Tribolium castaneum: one gene and its partner. The main gene of each other region encodes a partner of the protein of the gene in region 2 in a complex. Links are inferred from orthologs where the notes say so. Each region holds a gene or a part of one and is shown on either strand. Other genes may lie near its edges.

What was found.
Region 1: unc-112-related protein (region 2) and stck share a complex: the UniProt entries of both Caenorhabditis elegans proteins name them as parts of the integrin containing attachment complex. The link is inferred for Tribolium castaneum from reciprocal best matches to the Caenorhabditis elegans genes unc-112 and unc-97.

Annotation. Positions count from the first base shown.
Region 1 is NC_087400.1:2,455,557-2,460,126, forward strand, and holds the start of stck (LIM and senescent cell antigen-like-containing domain protein 1), read left to right. Parts: upstream 1-1,555; coding exon 1,556-1,737; intron 1,738-1,842; coding exon 1,843-1,959; intron 1,960-2,010; coding exon 2,011-2,316; intron 2,317-4,570. UniProt on the Caenorhabditis elegans protein: Component of an integrin containing attachment complex, which is required for muscle development and maintenance. Probably function in adherens junction.
Region 2 is NC_087396.1:10,390,218-10,394,040, forward strand, and holds part of unc-112-related protein, read left to right. Parts: intron 1-1,478; coding exon 1,479-1,984; intron 1,985-3,823. UniProt on the Caenorhabditis elegans protein: Component of an integrin containing attachment complex, which is required for muscle development and maintenance. Probable regulator of cell-extracellular matrix adhesion. Required during initial muscle assembly to form dense bodies and M-lines.

The DNA of each region.
Region 1 (4,570 bases), on a different chromosome or scaffold from region 2:
TTTTTATTTTAAATACAATTTAGGAAATAAAACCTTGTTTAAAAGTTATTTTTAAAAGTATGCGCCTTTCTGGACACGGTCGCCAACCCAGCAAATCTCCTCCTCATGGCCCACTTCCTTTAAATGGTAATTGTTGGTTTCTTGAACGTGATTGGTTGCTTTGACAGTTTTCTTGTTTTCTTGCTCTTAGCTTGCATGAAGTGTTGAATTTTTCATTTTTCTGGTTGTTTAAAAGTTTTAAAATATTGTAGACTCTTCCGAATAATTGTTGGTAAGGACTGGAATGCTATTTTGAGTTTATTAACCCCTGTTCTCTTCAGTAGGCCTGGAAATAAATTAGTTACATATCGTGTTTTTTCTTCAATTTCCAGGTCTTACGACGAGTTGGAATTAACTGTACAGCAAAATGTCACCAATTCCAATGCCAGGGTAAGCATTCTGTTGTATTACGCAACTGTTAAAAGTTAAAGTAATTCATTAAAAAGTAGGCGTTGCCTCTTTAGTTGGTTGGTTTAATTCCGGAAGTTGTATCATTATTACTGTACTTAATAGTACAAGGTATGTTCTAAATTATTCACTCTGTATATCATTGATCCCCCATATTACTTGTATTAGAAATTTCACTTAAAAAAATGACCTATGTTTTGTATGTCAAGGTCATTTTTTATCAATAATGCCGTAATTACTGATAATCTCTAATTCATGTTTTTGTTTTCTGGATAAGAACGTGTTATAGTCACAAAATCGGAACTGCTGAAACAAAATCAATTGTTTCAGTTACAATACAGGGTGTCTCACCTAACTCTTCCATCTAATGTGACGTCACCATAAAGCTGCTGGACGTTTTAGTTCTTTTTCTATGATCAAATACTCAATTTTTTTTATTCCAATTCGTAAAATTGCACTAAAATTCAATATTTTCAATAATAATAAATATAAAAATACTGCATAGCTCGTTATAAAAAAGAAATAAAGTATAAAACATTAGTGTACAATACATAAAAGATAAGATAAGACAAGAAACGTCAGTATAATTAGAAAAAAATTCTTTTGCTTTGGATTTTTTATTAAACTGATAGAAAAAATAAAAAATTATAACCAAAAAAGCTATTAGTGTTTTAATTACTTCCCCTAGCAACGTGTTTTAAAATAAAATTTTCTATCAATAACACTCATACGAAAAGTTCTCGCATACGCTCGTTGCATAAGAAAAAATGGTGCGAAAAATGTAAAAAATACGAGATTCGTGCCAGGTCATATTTTTATTTACTTTGTGACGTCATTTTGCAATTAAGAGGAAAAGTTAAACACTTAGCAACATAAACACTATCTTTAGTCACAATTTATCTGTGGTTTCCGGTTGTGGTAACGAATTTTTGACAATTATTACCTTTATTATAATAAGCTTCTAACACTCACTCGTATAACTAGACCTACTATTACGTTTTGTTGGACTTGACGATATCTATACGATTTGTTGATTTAAGCCATAGATTAGATGTAGTTTACAAGGGGAAAAATCTTTTAGAGTGTTCGTGTGACATACATTAGATCAATGTTTTCGAAAATAGACTTGTCCCCAAGTATCCCATCACTGGGTTCAATCTCCCAAAGTAGGCTGTTTCAAAGAAGGGCCAACTCGAAAGATGATCTTTCAGAGGAATATCGCAGTTTCCAAGACATTGACTACGAATTTATCGACAAATCCGATTTACAACAACATGGCTTTTCACGCACGTAATAATTTTCACTCTTATTTATTATTAATTGTGGTTTTTTGACGAATGAAAAGAGATTACAACATATCGTATAACCCGTAAACAAGTGAGTGCTGGTTTCTAGGGTCACTTCGACCATGTCTCTGGACAACATGCTGTGTGCCCGTTGTGGCGACGGTTTCGAGCCGCATGAAAAAATCGTCAATTCTACTGGACAACTGTGGCACCAGCAGTGTTTTGTGTAAGTATTTTTTTTTTAATTTTTTTTTTTTTTTTAATAAAAAATCTCCAGCTGTGCCCAGTGCTTCCAAGAGTTTGATGATGGGATTTTTTACGAGTATGACGATCGCAAGTACTGCGAGAGAGATTTCCAGATTCTCTTTGCTCCGTGTTGTGGAAAGTGTAATAATTTTATCATCGGGCGGGTCATCAAGGCCATGAATGCCAGCTGGCATCCGGAATGTTTCCGTTGCGAGATGTGCGAGACGGAATTGGCGGATACTGGATTTATTAAAAATGCAGGACGGGCTTTATGTCATGAATGCAATGCCAAGGTTAAAGCCATAGGGTCGGGGAAACACGTCTGCCACAAGTGCCAGTAAGTATAATGACAGGAAATGGTTTTCATTTCGAAAAATTAAATAAAGGCGAACGTGGAGCTGTTTTTTTCTCTTTTTCTAGCAATTTTGCGAAATTTTATCAAAATTGGTCGAAAATTGCCTTGTTTTTGAACGGCTGTTTACTTTATTGTTTTCAGTCGAAAACTCAATGATTTATTTGAACAATTACTAAATGGGGGCAAAAATAAATATAAATTTTGCTTTTTTCGTCCGTATTTTACATTTTTTAGAGACTTTATTATTAATATTTTTCCAAAATTTGGTGGAAAAGACAATAAATGACCAAAACAGAGCGAAAATTGTGTGATTTGACCTCTTTTGCGTTAGCCAAAAATAACCAGAAAAAAAGTGGAGTGGGGTGGTGAGTATTTGAGCTAAAAACTGAGTTATTTTTGCAAGATTTTTCAATGTCAATCCGAAAAGTCACCAAATTAGATCGAAACTGATCCTCATACTACCTTTTTCAAGCGTTTAAACAAGGTTTTAAGATAAAAACCGATCGTTTTTCGGCTTTTAGTTCAATTTTTGAGCAATTATTTCGAATTTCGCAAAATTGCTCGAAAATCAATCGAAAATTGCGTTATTTTTGAACAGTTGTGCACTTTATAGTGCTAAAAACTCGAGAAATTAAATAGCTTTTAATTTTTTTGGACGCTTTATTGCAACTTTCTTCAGTCTAAAACTCAATTGTTTATTTGAAAAAAAAAAGAAAGACAGTTTTTCGTTTACAGAAACGACTATATTATTAATTTTTTTTTCAAAATTTGGTGAGATAGACGTCAAAAAATTTGGTCAAAGCGAAAATGGTGTGAAAACTGCGGATTTTTTTTAATGTGAGGCAAGAAAAAATGTTTTTATTGCCTTTTTTGGCCGTTTTTGTGCGTTTTCTTTGCATAAAAGTAAAATAATATTATTTAAAGTTGGAGATAATTTAGCTAACGGTTTGATATAGTAGTACATTACGTCAAAAATTAATTTGTTTTTTTTTGTTTTTTTTAAGTCTCTTGGCACGTTTTCCAATAAATTTTATTTTAAACATGTTTTACTGCTTTAATCTATTTTTTTTGTGGGAGATATTTGATATAAATCCACCGACAAATCATAAAATTTTGGTCGAAAATTGCGTTGTCTTTGAACGGTTGTTTACTTTATTGCAACTTTTTTGAGTCGAAATTATTTATTATTATTATTTGAACAATTACTAAATAGGGGCAAAAATAAAAATAAATTTTGCTTTTTTCGTCCGTATTTTACATTTTTTAGAGACTTTATTATTAATATTTCTCAAAAATTTGGTGGAAAAGACAATAAATGACCAAAACAGAGCGAAAATTGTGTGATTTGACCTTTTTTGCGTTAGCCAAAAATAACCAGAAAAAAAGCGGAGTGGGGTGGTTTAAACAAGGTTTTAAGATAAAAACCGATCGTTTTTCGGCTTTTAGTTCAATTTTTCAGTAATTATTTCGAATTTTGTTGGAAACAAATCGATGAAACACTAAATTCGGTCGAAATTTTCGCTAAATTTTATCAATAATCAGTCGAAAAACTTTAAAATTATCTCAAAAAGTGGTATACTCGTATTTTACCTTTTTTGTGAGGTAAAAACTTTGTTTTTCTAAGATTTTCTTTCTTGTTCTAGCAATTTCGCAAAATTGCTCGAAAATCAATCGAAAATTGCGTTATTTTTGAACAGTTGTGCACTTTATAGTGCTAAAAACTCGAGAAATTAAATAGCTTTTAATTTTTTTGGACGCTTTATTGCAACTTTCTTCAGTCTAAAACTCAATTGTTTATTTGAAAAAAAAAAGAAAGACAGTTTTTCGTTTACAGAAACGACTATATTATTATTTTTTTTTCAAAATTTGGTGAGATAGACGTCAAAAAATTTGGTCAAAGCGAAAATGGTGTGAACACTGCGGATTTTTTACAATGTGAGGCAAGAAAAAATGTTTTTATTGCCTTTTTTGGCCGTTTTTGTGCGTTTTCTTTGCATAAAAGTAAAATAATATTATTTAAAGTTGGAGATAATTTAGCTAACGGTTTGATACAGTAGTACATTACGTCAAAAATTAATTTGTTTTTTCGTTTTTTTTTAAGTCTCTTGGCACGTTTTCCAATAAATTTCATTTTAAACACGTTTTACTGCTTTAATCTATTTTTTTTGTGGGAGATATTTGATATAAATCCACCGACAAATCATAAAATTTTGGTCGAAAATTGCGTTGTCTTTGA
Region 2 (3,823 bases):
GTTTGCAAAAATCAGCAAAATAATGGTGTTACAATAATACGGCGAAACAAAATCTCAGAGAAAAGACGTTTAGAATAACTAAAAACTAAAAAAAAAAAATAAAAAAATGTTATTTTTAGCAAAAAGCTTTTATTTAAAAGATGCACTAAAAAATAAAAAATAATGTTTTTCTATCAGAGGAGAATATTTTTGCTTACAAATTAGGATTTTAAAATTTATAAAAGCTTTGGGAACAGTGTTCAATTTAAGAAAGTAATTCTGTAGTGCCGTATTGTTATGACATGACTTATGACCGTTCCTAAAGCTTTTATAAATTTTAAAATTCTAATTTGTAAGCAAAATTATTCTCTTCTAATAGAAAAACATTATTTTTTATTTTTATTAATTTTATTACTTTCTTCACAATACAAATTTTATTTTTTCACAAGTGTGGCTAGCGATTTTTCTGATTTTTGCAGAAAACAAAGCTTGGCAAAAGAACTTTGGATTGTAAAAAATGGTGAATCGACAGTCACTTGTTAAACCCTTAACGATTTTTTTTCAAAATATCATCTCAATACAAATTTGATTTTTCTTTCATTTGTCAACTCGTGAAGCGATTTTGCTGTTTTCTGGAGTAAACAAAGCTTAGCAAAAGGGCCTTTTCTTTAAAAAAACAACAATCACTACTAAGGGCCTTAATGAACATTTTTTGTTTTTTCAATATATCTTCACCGATACAGGTTTTTTTCATATGTGTAATCCTGTCTAACGAGTTTTCCTGATTTTTCGGAAACACAGCTTAGTAAAAGGACCTTCGACTGTGAAAAATGAGCCAGCAGTCACTAGTTAGGGCCTTGTTCCTAGTTTCTTTCATCGTTTTTTAACCGGAAAAAAATTCCTTTCTTTCAACCATTGACCAATTTTCGTGTTGTATCATTAAAACGAAGCAAAAATTATAAAAATTGGTTGAATGTATCACCACACATACTCGTATAGTGACATAATCCCCAGATTTATAGTCTCGCCCCATTTCTGATCCCACTTCCCGCATGTTTTTATTCACGGCACACGTTCAAGCGTAATAAAAACGGTGATATTACATTCATTCGTATGACATCAAAATCACTCCCACATAATTTCTGGATCTAATGAATTCGATTCAAGGCCAGTCCAGATTCCAGTTGGTTTCCTTCCAACTTGCCTATAGTTGGGTTCATTTCGAAGCGATCGAAAGTGGAACATGCTGCTGTCATAAGCGAAATGAATTGATCGCCTCGTTATTGCACCCGACTTTTATTTAATTGACCTATAAAAGAGCGAACAAAACAGATGCGTTTGCTTTTGCGCGAAATAGGTCAGAGTTGTAAAAACTTTCTTAAACTGAACTAGAAGAGAAATTCATTATTTTTGTCTCAAGTTATTTCTTCCAAATCTAAAATAAAACTTGCGCGCCGGCCAAAATTACCAAACTGAACTTTTGGTGTGGTTTGTTACAGAAATCTCAATGGACTGGTCGGACCATGCCCTGTGGTGGCCCAGCAAGAACATTTGGTTGACGCGAACCCGCTCAACCCTCGACCAATACGGCGTCCAAGCCGATGCCCTTTTGCACTTCACCCCCATGCACAAAAACTTGCGCGTCCAACTGCCCGACTTGCGCTACTTGGACATGAAAGTGGATTTTTCCGTAAAAACATTTTCGGCCGTTATTCACTTGTGTAAAGACCTGGGTATTAGGCATCCGGAAGAGTTGTCGTTGTGCAAACCGCTCGAACCTTGCCATTTGAAATACAATTACAACTCGATGCCAAAGAAGAAAGTTGAAAACGGGGTTGCGAAAAACGGGCATCCCAACCTTCCGCCAGACACCAACACCTTCATCGCCAACAGCAGTCCCGATGGGAGCACCGGGAGCTTGGACAAGAGTGGGTTTATGTGCGCTCCTGTCACACCCTCGAGGCCTCCGCCCTCCTCCACACCGGTCAGCAGTCCTGTGGGAAATGTAATTTTTTCCCGATGGTTTTTACTAACACTTGACTTTGCACTCACATCTGTTTTATTTCATTTGTTCGAAAAAATGCAAGTTTGAAAGTGAAAGAAGCGAGTCGAAAGCACAAAAAATTCGCACTTGTGCTTATCAAAGATGTTTTGGGAGAAAAAAATATTTTTGTTAAGTCATTTTTCAAAAAAAAAACCTCGAACAGGTCAGTTTTTTTAAATGCTACATTTCAACTGTATAGTGACATTTATGACGTCATTGGTTTTTGAGTAATGACGTCGTTTTCAATTTTTTTAAATGACATTTTTAATTAGTGTTTTGGATAGTACAAATCATCTTTCTGGTAAGTACTCGTATAAAGAAAGTAAAAGAAAAACAAAAAAGGAGAAAAGTTAAAAGTTAAAAAAAGGTTTAGAAATTGTATACAAAGAGCTTTATCTTTCTGATCTTACTTTATTTTTTACACGACTGAGCTCTATTTGATTATTTACGACGCCTGTTTCCAAGACAGTAAGTACATGGTGTTTACTAGTTGCTACGTCCAAGGCGTCGTTAACATAACCTGGTCTTGACAATTATTTTGACATTATTTAATAAATCTTAAAAAAAATATAAAGATCGTGCAAAAAACGTCATAAGCATCACGAACGTTAAGGATTACTGATCTCAGACAATAATTGTCTTAGATTGGTAAAACCACCTTACTGTTCTTGATACTTAATATACTATTTATTGTAAGAAGTGATTGTTTTTGTTTGTGTTTAGATTTACGTTGCATATGTTTTCACGCTAACTATTTAAAAATTCATATCAAAAACAATACATGAAGCAAGAACACACAGATAATGCTTTTTGTGTTTAGTTGTCAGTAATTGTTTTATTTATTTATTTTTTAATTTCATTTTTTTTCTTATTATCAGAAAGATATAGATGTGTATATCCTATTTCAGTTCATATTAGAATTTTGTAACAGCGCATTTGAGTTTTCTGAAGTGAAATAAAGCCCAAATTAATAGTTTCTGCATAAGAAAAGAATTCTGTCCTAAGCTAAATCCCTGCGGCAAATTTTGAGCCAAGAAAACCACCAGGTACTTTCAATTTGTGTTCCATTTCACTCCAAAAAGTCCAAATTTATTGTTGCTAAATTTTACTATAAACTGAAGTAGGATATACTAGTGTGGATATACGAGTACTATCTTTACACTAAATGAAACTGTCAGTTGTCATTTAAAGAAAATATAAATGACTTCATAGCTCAAAAACGAATGACGTCACAGATCTCAAGATAAAGCATTTAAATAAAAAAATAGACCTGTTTTTTTAAAAACAGATTTTTTTTAAAAAATGACCATTAACAAAGATATGGATTTTGTGTGTTAGTTTTGATTCAGTCTGTACATTTCGAATAAAATGACAAAATTGCATAAAATCATCAATTTAGTTTTATGGTGACATTTGTAAAAACGGTGTCAATTTCTTTTTTTTAATGGGGTCTTGTATAATTTTTTGCATCATTTAATAGAAGATTTACTTTTAATTTGTAACACGTGTCACAATATAATAAATTAATAATAAATACTAGTAGAAAAAAATAAAAAAATATTTAGATTATTTTAGGTAAAAAAGAGCTACATGATAAAAAAAACAATTATTAAAAACTTTTATTTACAAATTTAAGCAATGAAATAGTTTTCATAGGTAGTTAAGTTTTTTTTTGAAATTAACTACTATTTAGATTACGCAATTCTTAATGAATAATTGTTATTGTAACGTTACTTTGAAATATGGGGTGTGATACATATTGCAATTAGAAGTTAATTATAATTACACATCAAATGGTAC